Schizosaccharomyces pombe: one gene and its partner. The gene in region 1 interacts genetically with each later gene. Each region holds a gene or a part of one and is shown on either strand. Other genes may lie near its edges.

Region 1 (4,294 bases):
TCCTTGACTTTGTTGCTCAAGATAAGGCGTTACTGACTATGAATGTTACCCGTCAAGAAGCTGCTGATGCTTTGCATTCTGTTGGTTTTACTGCGGAGATGCAGGAAAATCCTGTTGCTTCTTTATCTGGTGGTTGGAAAATGAAACTGGAGTTGGCTCGTGCCATGTTGCAGAAAGCTGATATTTTGCTTTTGGATGAACCAACAAATCATCTTGATGTTGCCAATATTGCATGGCTGGAAGCATATTTAACCTCTCAAAAGAATATTACTTGCTTGATAGTTTCTCACGACTCTTCATTTTTGGACCACGTGTGTACTGACATCATTCATTATGAAGGTGTTAAAAACCAGGCAAAAAAGCTTGGTTATTATCAAGGTAATCTTTCAGCTTTTGTCAAGGTCAAACCGGAAGCTAAATCATACTATACATTGACAGCCACAAACGAGAAGTTTGTTTTTCCACCTCCCGGTATCTTAACTGGTGTGCGCTCAAACACACGTCTCATATTAAAAATGACAAACGCTTCTTATACATATCCCAACGCGAAGAAGAAGTCATTAGATAATGTTACCGTTGGGTTATCTTTATCTTCTCGTGTTGCCATTTTAGGTCCTAACGGTGCTGGTAAATCAACGCTTATTAAAGTTCTTATCGGTGAAGTAATCCCTCAAGAAGGAAAAGTTTTCAAGCATCCCAACTTGCGTGTGGGTTACGTTGCTCAGCATGCCTTTCATCACTTGGATCAACATCTGGAAAAAACGCCAAGTCAATATATTCAATGGCGTTATGCTGGAGGACAGGACCGCGAAGTTTCAGAGAAGGAATCTCGAAAACTTACCGAAGAAGACCGTGCTCAGCTTCAGCGTGATATTACGGTCAATGGCGAACGTAGAAGAGTGGAAGCTTTGATTGGCCGTCAAAAACTAAAAAAGTCATTTCAATATGAAATTAAATGGTTTGGGAAGCCTCATAAATACAATACGTGGGTGTCTCGAGAAATATTGCTTGAAAATGGGTTTCAAAAGTTTGTACAGGCTTTTGATGATATGGAATCTTCTCGCGAAGGTCTCGGTTTCCGTGAATTGATTCCCGAAGACATCAGGGCACATTTTGAGGATGTGGGCCTTCCTGGCGACATTGCTGATTACAGCCCCATTAGTAGTTTGTCTGGCGGTCAAAAGGTTAAAGTTGTTATTGCTGCGTGTCTCTGGAATAACCCCCAGCTTTTGGTTTTGGACGAACCTACAAACTTTTTGGACAGAGATGCATTAGGTGGTTTAGCTGTTGCTATTCGTGATTGGGAAGGTGGGGTCGTTATGATTTCACATAATGAAGAATTTGTTTCTGCGTTGTGTCCTGAACACTGGCATGTAGAAGCGGGTAAGGTTACCGGTAAGGGCAAGACCGCTGTTGACGATGGAAAGTTTGAAGATCTGTCGGAGAAAGATTTGAAAAAGATTGAGGCTAAAGCTACCAAAAAGAAGAAATTGACGAGAAATGAAATCAAGGCCAAAGAAAGACGTGCTAGAGAGAGAGAATTAGCATGGTTACAATCTCCCAAGGGCACCGAAAAACCCAAATCATTCTTCTCTGATGATGAAGAATAATTTCAGACTAATTTTTTAATTCGCTCTTTGGATTGACAAGTTGAGAGTTGTTTATCCTTTAATTTTCTTTAGACGGTGCTAGTTGTTGAAGTTGGTCTTTTACATATTTACGGTTTACTGATATACCTTTTAGACTTAATTTATATATATAGAACTTGGTGGATGGTATCGTGGATAATATTAATATTAGTCGCTTTTTATATGTTTTGTTTATCGTTAGTGCATGTTATAGTTGTATTAGACGTATACACTTTTGTCATTGACTCTTGTAAAAGGTGTCAAGAGAACTATGTATTTTTTGGGTTTTTTTCTAGATATTCGTATGAAAATGTGATAGACTTTTTAATATGATTAATCAGGAAATTTCTATAAACATGCACTCAACGAAAAATAGGGTACTTAATCTTCAAGAAATAATTGGTGTAGTCTTAGTTCACCTACTCAAAGAGCCTTCAAAATAAAGGCAAAAGAACTGAACTAAGAGTTTTACTACTGATGATATAGTTCATTTAATATTAAACAGGGAAATTTTCAAACAATAGTATGGTATTGGATAAACTGTTGTACACAGGGTACAACGTCAGTACTGAATGTGGTTATTGTAAAAGTGGAAGAAAGACCGAGCATTTTGGTTTATTAGCAGAAAAGCTCAGTTGTGAAGTAAGCGTATAACTCTGCTTTTTGCAAATTTTGCTAACCTACATTTAACCTCAGGACTACCAGCGATTGATTGATTTGGGATGGAGGTAAAAACCTTTATTAGTTAACATTGCTAATATAAAATAAGACGTTCAGGACATTATTTATATAAACCCAACGGGAAAACATCTTGCTGTTCTCTTTATACAATCAGGTACTTAGCATAAGTCGCCAAATATGATTGATTACTAACCGCCGAATGTTGAAGACTCGACAGCTATAATTTTAAAATTGCAAAAGAGCAAAAGAAGGCAATAAAAAAATGGGTCAAATATGTAAATGGAAAGCCATTAAAACCTATGAAAAGCGAAATTAGCACAGATTATTTGAACAATGCCTTTCAAACTATAGAATCGCTCGGAGCTGAAAAATACTCTGTAACTATGGAGCCTTGCACTTACACCGATGAGAAATTTGAAGTCTTCAAAAAGTATCAAATGCAAGTTCATTTAGAGAAAGAAGAGGAAATCACGAAAAAAGGATTTAGCAGGTTTCTTTGCAACTCTCCTTTATTTAATGAAGACAAGGGGATAAAGTATGGTTCTTATCATCAGATGTATCGATTTCAAGGAAGGCTTGTGGCAGTTGGAGTTTTAGACTTGCTACCACATGGTGTTTCTAGCGTTTATCTGTTTTATGATCCTGATATGTCTAAGTTTTCTCTGGGAAGGATTAGTGCCTGCCGTGAAATCTGGCTTGCTCTTGAATGCGGATATCGGTACTACTACATGGGTAGGCTAAAATGTCATTTATTTAATTACGTTGATTGACCTTGCAGGTTATTATATTCACACATGTCCCAAAATGAAGTATAAGGCAACGTATAGTCCATCGTACCTGCTTAATCCCGTACGTATACATTCGATTTTAACTTGAACTAATACAAACAGGGTACAAATAAATGGATACCAATTGAAAACTTTACTTCACTTTGGAATACTGGTGCTCCTAAATATATAAGTTTCGGGGATGAAAATAATAGTGATATTCAAACTGCTGTTGACTACGATTCTTCTGAAGATTCATCTCAAAACGAAGATGATTATACACTGTTTAATCGACAGCTTCCTGGAATTCTTTCAGTAAATGTTGCTGAGTCCTTGGTTTCGGAGAATTTTGCTAACATTGGCAATTCAACTTTCCCCACAAGAGTATGTCTTTATTTTTGAGTAACAATGCTAATTCTTCAGCATGTTTTAAGTTATTTCCCTCAGGTTAAACATTGGTTTGTTGAAATCAATGCTGCTGTGGGCGAAGAAGTCGCAAAGAGTTATACACTTGTTTTATCTAGTTGATATATTATCTGTCTACGTGTTTTATTTGCTTAAGATATGAACATCCTACTTAAAAATCTTAATGAACTCCAGGATGGCTTTGAGAGTAAATTTTACAATGTGACTTACAGAATTAAGTTAATTTTATGCTACTACTTATGTGTGATAGTTTCCTCTTTTATGTCCCTTAATCGAAGTTGATAGCATTTCTAATAATATAAAATACTGCCGGCTTATATATTTATTTTGTAATTATTTATAACTGCACGCTACCTAAAATGTCACCCTAACATAACTTAGTGGGCTTTTCCGTTACGAGTTGTTTGCAACCAAACACAAAAACGGGTTTACCGGTACTTCACGACTTAATATAATCGCAAAACAGTGCATAGTAGGTGAGAAAGGATTTTATCATTTAGAGAAGAGATTTTACTTTAATTGTTCTTCTTTTTTCTTTCTCAAGTGTTACTGCTAGGTTCTCATTCTATAGAGTATTAGCAAACACCAGATTTCGATGACATTTCGTGTCAAAATTGGGTTGACTGCATTTTAAAAATAATTAATCACGGTTGGCTTACAATTCAACTTCTAGGCACTGATTTTTTCTTCGAATGCCATTTTGAAGTTATTTTACTTTTACTTTCCTAAAACAAGGTGTTGTAATAAGGGATTGTTCTTTTATCTATTTTTGTACCATTTGTATAAAGAATT
Region 2 (4,214 bases), on another chromosome or scaffold:
AGAATCAAGTATAAGAGATTATATAAATCCGTTATCTCACTAGTAGACATACGACGAATGCGCAATAAAACTAGGTAATCATAACAAACAGTTTGGGAGTTGGAAAATCGCAATAAAAAATTTTATGCTTAATCCTTAGAAAACAGCAAGCAAAGGTTTCTCATTTAAGTATCAAAAGGAGAAAAAATAAACAAAATAAGGACAAAAACGATGCCCGAAGTAAAATCTTTGCTAATGAAACAGAAAAATAAACTCAAAGCATCCATGGGCCTTTTCATCTATTCACAATGTATTTCTTGATGAAGCTAGTTGTATAAGTAGACTACTAATTTTTGAAGGCGAACTTTAAAAAGGAAATCCGCGATCCCTATAGTAGTAGCGGATGTATATACATCAAGCAGTATTAACAAATCAGAATTGCATCAAAAGATATTCCAATAGATAACAAAGCCACACGAGAAAGCAAAATAAAAGTCCAACGACAAAAATAAAACAGATACTGATAAGAAGTTGGTTCCTTTTTTTCGGTATACTACTTTTCAATTTTTTTTGGGAAATTTTTTTTTTCTCTGTTAAAATTTGAAAAAATAAGAAAGTAGAAAAGCAAGATCAAACGGCAAATTAATTTCAAGAGAGCCGAATTCATCACGGAGATGATTAGAGAATACAATATGACGGGTTAAACAAAAGTTCCCGTCATACAATATGAAAAGAGAAAAAAGTTACAAGAATAACAAAAACACGTAAAGTGTTTATAAGCGCAAGGAAACGAAAAACAAACCCCGTCAAGCAACAACACCCGCAGAAAGTAAGCACGATCACTAAGTCATTGCATAGCGATTGTACACTGGATAATATCCCACGGGTGTATAGGGATAATAGTAGTTGCAATTAGAGCAAGAACGTCCAGAAGAGGGCGATGGTGGTGCGTTGGTGCTCAACGTAGTAGGGCTATAAGTTTTTTGTTCACCAGAGTATGTAGCGTTTGAGGAAGTAAACAAAGAATAAGAAGCACTCCACCACTCCCATGCCTTTTGACCACGAGGACCGGGACTAAGATTCCAGGACATGCTAGCTAGCCAGTCTTGTTCAAAGCTGTTCAACAAGGCAGTACGGAAACCAGTAACTTGCGACCAGGATTGATTGGTAAACGTATTGTCATCCAAAAACTTATTAGCCAAAATCAAGGCGGTCGTTAAAAGAGCACATATTTGGAAGAATAACGACTCCTTAGTCCACTGGTTTACAAAATCAGTCGTTTGAGATGCGGCGTCAAGACGATCGGAAAGGTATGACAAGGCAAGCAAGCAAGAGGCACGAGGTAAACGCGTAGACGTCAAAATTTGTGTAACGACCTTACGGAAAGAAAACACAAGACCAGGTAAAGAGTTAGCAAGAGAATGCATTTGAGCATTATTCAGGAAACGAGCATACAACTTACAAGTCATGATAGACAAGTATTCCACCATTTGATCCATCTTGTAATCCAGTTTAGCAGCAACACCTCCGGTATAAACGGTTTCTTCCTGATCCTCCATGTTAGTTTTGCAGACAGGAGAAATACGTTGTTGAACGTTAGCAACCGAAGGCATGTTAAGATTACCTGGGATTGTATTATCAGTCTCGGAGGTAGTAGTGGCGGTATTGTTGGTTACAGGCACATCTGCTACGGGATGTCGAGACTGATAAAAGGAAGGAGCACAATTGTTAGCAATCAAAGGGGCGGAAACGTTGTTACATGCAGCTGATACATTCACCGAATTGCCAAATTGATCTTGGTTAGGATTATAGGCAACGGCAGAGTCAGGCATATAGCGTTGCTGGGAGGGTGGTGGAGGTGCGGCAGATGGAACCGACTGATAAGATGGCCAGTAATAGTTTAGAGGCGCAGAAGGGTAGAGACGTGGTTGAGGTTGCTGTAAACGGTGCTGCGACAGAAGGGAAGGAACAGCGGAAGGATGATGAGAGGAGGAAGGGATGGAGAAGCCCGACCTTACCGAAAGCGTATCGGGCACAGAAACGCCAGGTAAGAAGGACGGACGACGCTGGCCAAGACCATACATAGGAGCATGACTCAACAAAGCAGCAACCGAAGAAGCAGAGTTTGCACTATTGCTGGACGAAACAGGAGCAAACATACTCAAGCCGGGGGCAGCCAAAGGAGGCTGAACTTGAGAACGTGAAGTGTGCTGATAAGGAAACGACATTGCTGAAGAATTTCGAAAAGGAAAGCAAATTGAAGAATTAAAAAAAAAATTTTTAACTCCTTTGCTATTCTACCTAATCAAGTCTTTTTCGAGTTTTGTAATCGATTTCTTGAGTACTCCTTTCAAGGAAAGAAGAATACAAAGGAAGAACGATAAAAAAAAATGAAAAAGAGATAAAGAATGCTCAACAATAAGAAATTTACCCAAGAGACAGGAAAAAGACTTATTAACACTCACTTCTAGCAAAACCCGACCAAGGAATGCTTGTTTCGCTGGCAAATAGACGAGGCTTAGTAAAAAGCTCGACTTCTGCAAAAAAACTGCTAATATAGAAGGAAAAAAATAGGATTGAACCCTCCAAACTAAATTTTACGGTGGTTGGTTGTGCGCAGGTTCTGAAAAGCTGGTAACGCAGTTGAAAATGCTTGCAACTTAGGAAAGAGAATTTTTTAGGAATAAAAAATTTCACTTTGTTAAGCACTGAAAAATAGCGTAGCGTTGAAGATTATTCAGCAAGAAAGTTAAACCCAAATTAAGATATCTAACGTAATAGATCGGTTAGATAACTTTATGGATTTTAATTAGCAATTGCCGGTGAGGAAAATTGGGAGCGAGGTAAACAAACAATGGGACAAGCAGGAAAAAAATCAAAGAAAAATAAGTTAAACGTAGCAAGACAAACAATAAGTATGTAAAGAGGAGAATTTGAAAGTTATCTAAATAAAGAAACAACTTGAGAAGTAAAAATCGAGTAGAAAGTGAAATGAAATGGAAGGAGCAATTAAAGAGGAGAGAATAAACAAGAACTGAGTATGATAGACGAAAAGTAGACGGAAAAAAGAAATTAAAGAGACAAGAGAAAATCAACTGGTGGATGTCTTTGTCGTATAAGAAAAGATGTATAAATAGAAATCAAAGATTAAAAAGGGAGGTAATGTTTACTTCAGCAAGTTGAGAAAAAAAAATTCAACAATTAGCTTTTCGAGACAATTTGGAGTGAAACGAAAAAAAAAGTAAAAAATAACAGTAAACAACAAAAACTGAAAAAAAAGGGGAGATGAAGAGCGAGTAAAGAAATCGGGTTTGTAATTATAAAAGGATAAGTAGGGATGAGCGATTAGATGAATGAAAAAACAGAGAGAGAGAGAGAGAGAGAAAAAGAAAAAAAAAAGGATTAAAAAGTAAAAGAAAAAGAAAAACAGACTACAAAATGTAAGCTGAAAAAAAAAAAAAAAAAAAAAAAAAAGTTGTTCAAGTCTCAAGACAGTATACAGTACGCAAACTTTTTTGAATAAGGGCTAACCAAAGCACTGAGTGAAGAGTGTATTGGCAGTTGGGGGGGAAGCCGTAGAAAGAAAGCAAGGCAGATGCTTTATATATATATATATATATATAACTATATGTACTTGAGTAAATAAATAAAAAGATGCGCGCATAAATACAATTGTAGCAGCGAAAGAAGAAAACGTAAACAAACAAACCAATGAAAAATTAGGAAACCAATGACAGCATGAATACTCAGGAAAATGAGAGAGAGAAAACGAAATTAAAAGAGGAGAGTGAAGGCACAGTAAAAGGAAAGGGAAACAAAATAACAAAGCAAAGCCAAAACAAAAACAAACGATGCTAGAAAAGAAGAAGGCGCGAAATCAAGGGCGCGCAAAAGAACAATTAAGAGTGTAGAGAAGAAAACGCGTGAAATTAAAAAATAAAAGGAAGAGAGGAAATGGGGAGGAAGGAAGGAGAAAACGCAAGCAAAGTTTGTTGATGTATATAGGCAAAAAGCCGTCGGAGCCAGAATGAGCATTAACGGAGCACATGAGAGGGAGACAAACCTTGTTGAGTGGAGAGTGGAAGGAGGGAAATGGAGGAAATCGTTAAATGGGATAATGAAAGAGAGAGAGAGAGAATAAGAAAAAAGAGCGAGGAAGAGTGGAGTGGTTGAGGGGAATAGTGGGGTGAAAGGAGGAGGAAGGAAGAAGGAAGGGAATGCAGGGAGTGATCGTT

What was found. Genes that interact genetically often act in the same process or in processes that back each other up.
Region 2: mutations in ate1 (region 1) and clg1 together harm fitness less than expected from each alone (positive genetic interaction), as found in Schizosaccharomyces pombe (2 studies listed by BioGRID).

The regions. Positions count from the first base shown.
Region 1 is NC_003424.3:2,076,590-2,080,883, reverse strand, and holds ate1 (arginine-tRNA--protein transferase), read left to right. Parts: upstream 1-2,040; 5' UTR 2,041-2,153; coding exon 2,154-2,270; exon of another isoform or gene 2,271-2,324; coding exon 2,325-2,356; exon of another isoform or gene 2,357-2,397; coding exon 2,398-2,463; exon of another isoform or gene 2,464-2,517; coding exon 2,518-3,041; exon of another isoform or gene 3,042-3,087; coding exon 3,088-3,158; exon of another isoform or gene 3,159-3,199; coding exon 3,200-3,460; exon of another isoform or gene 3,461-3,499; coding exon 3,500-3,604; 3' UTR 3,605-3,777; downstream 3,778-4,294. Other genes in the region: AAA family ATPase Elf1, read left to right, coding at 1-1,610.
Region 2 is NC_003423.3:1,745,220-1,749,433, forward strand, and holds clg1 (cyclin Clg1), read right to left. Parts: upstream 2,598-4,214; 5' UTR 2,208-2,597; coding exon 822-2,207; 3' UTR 558-821; downstream 1-557.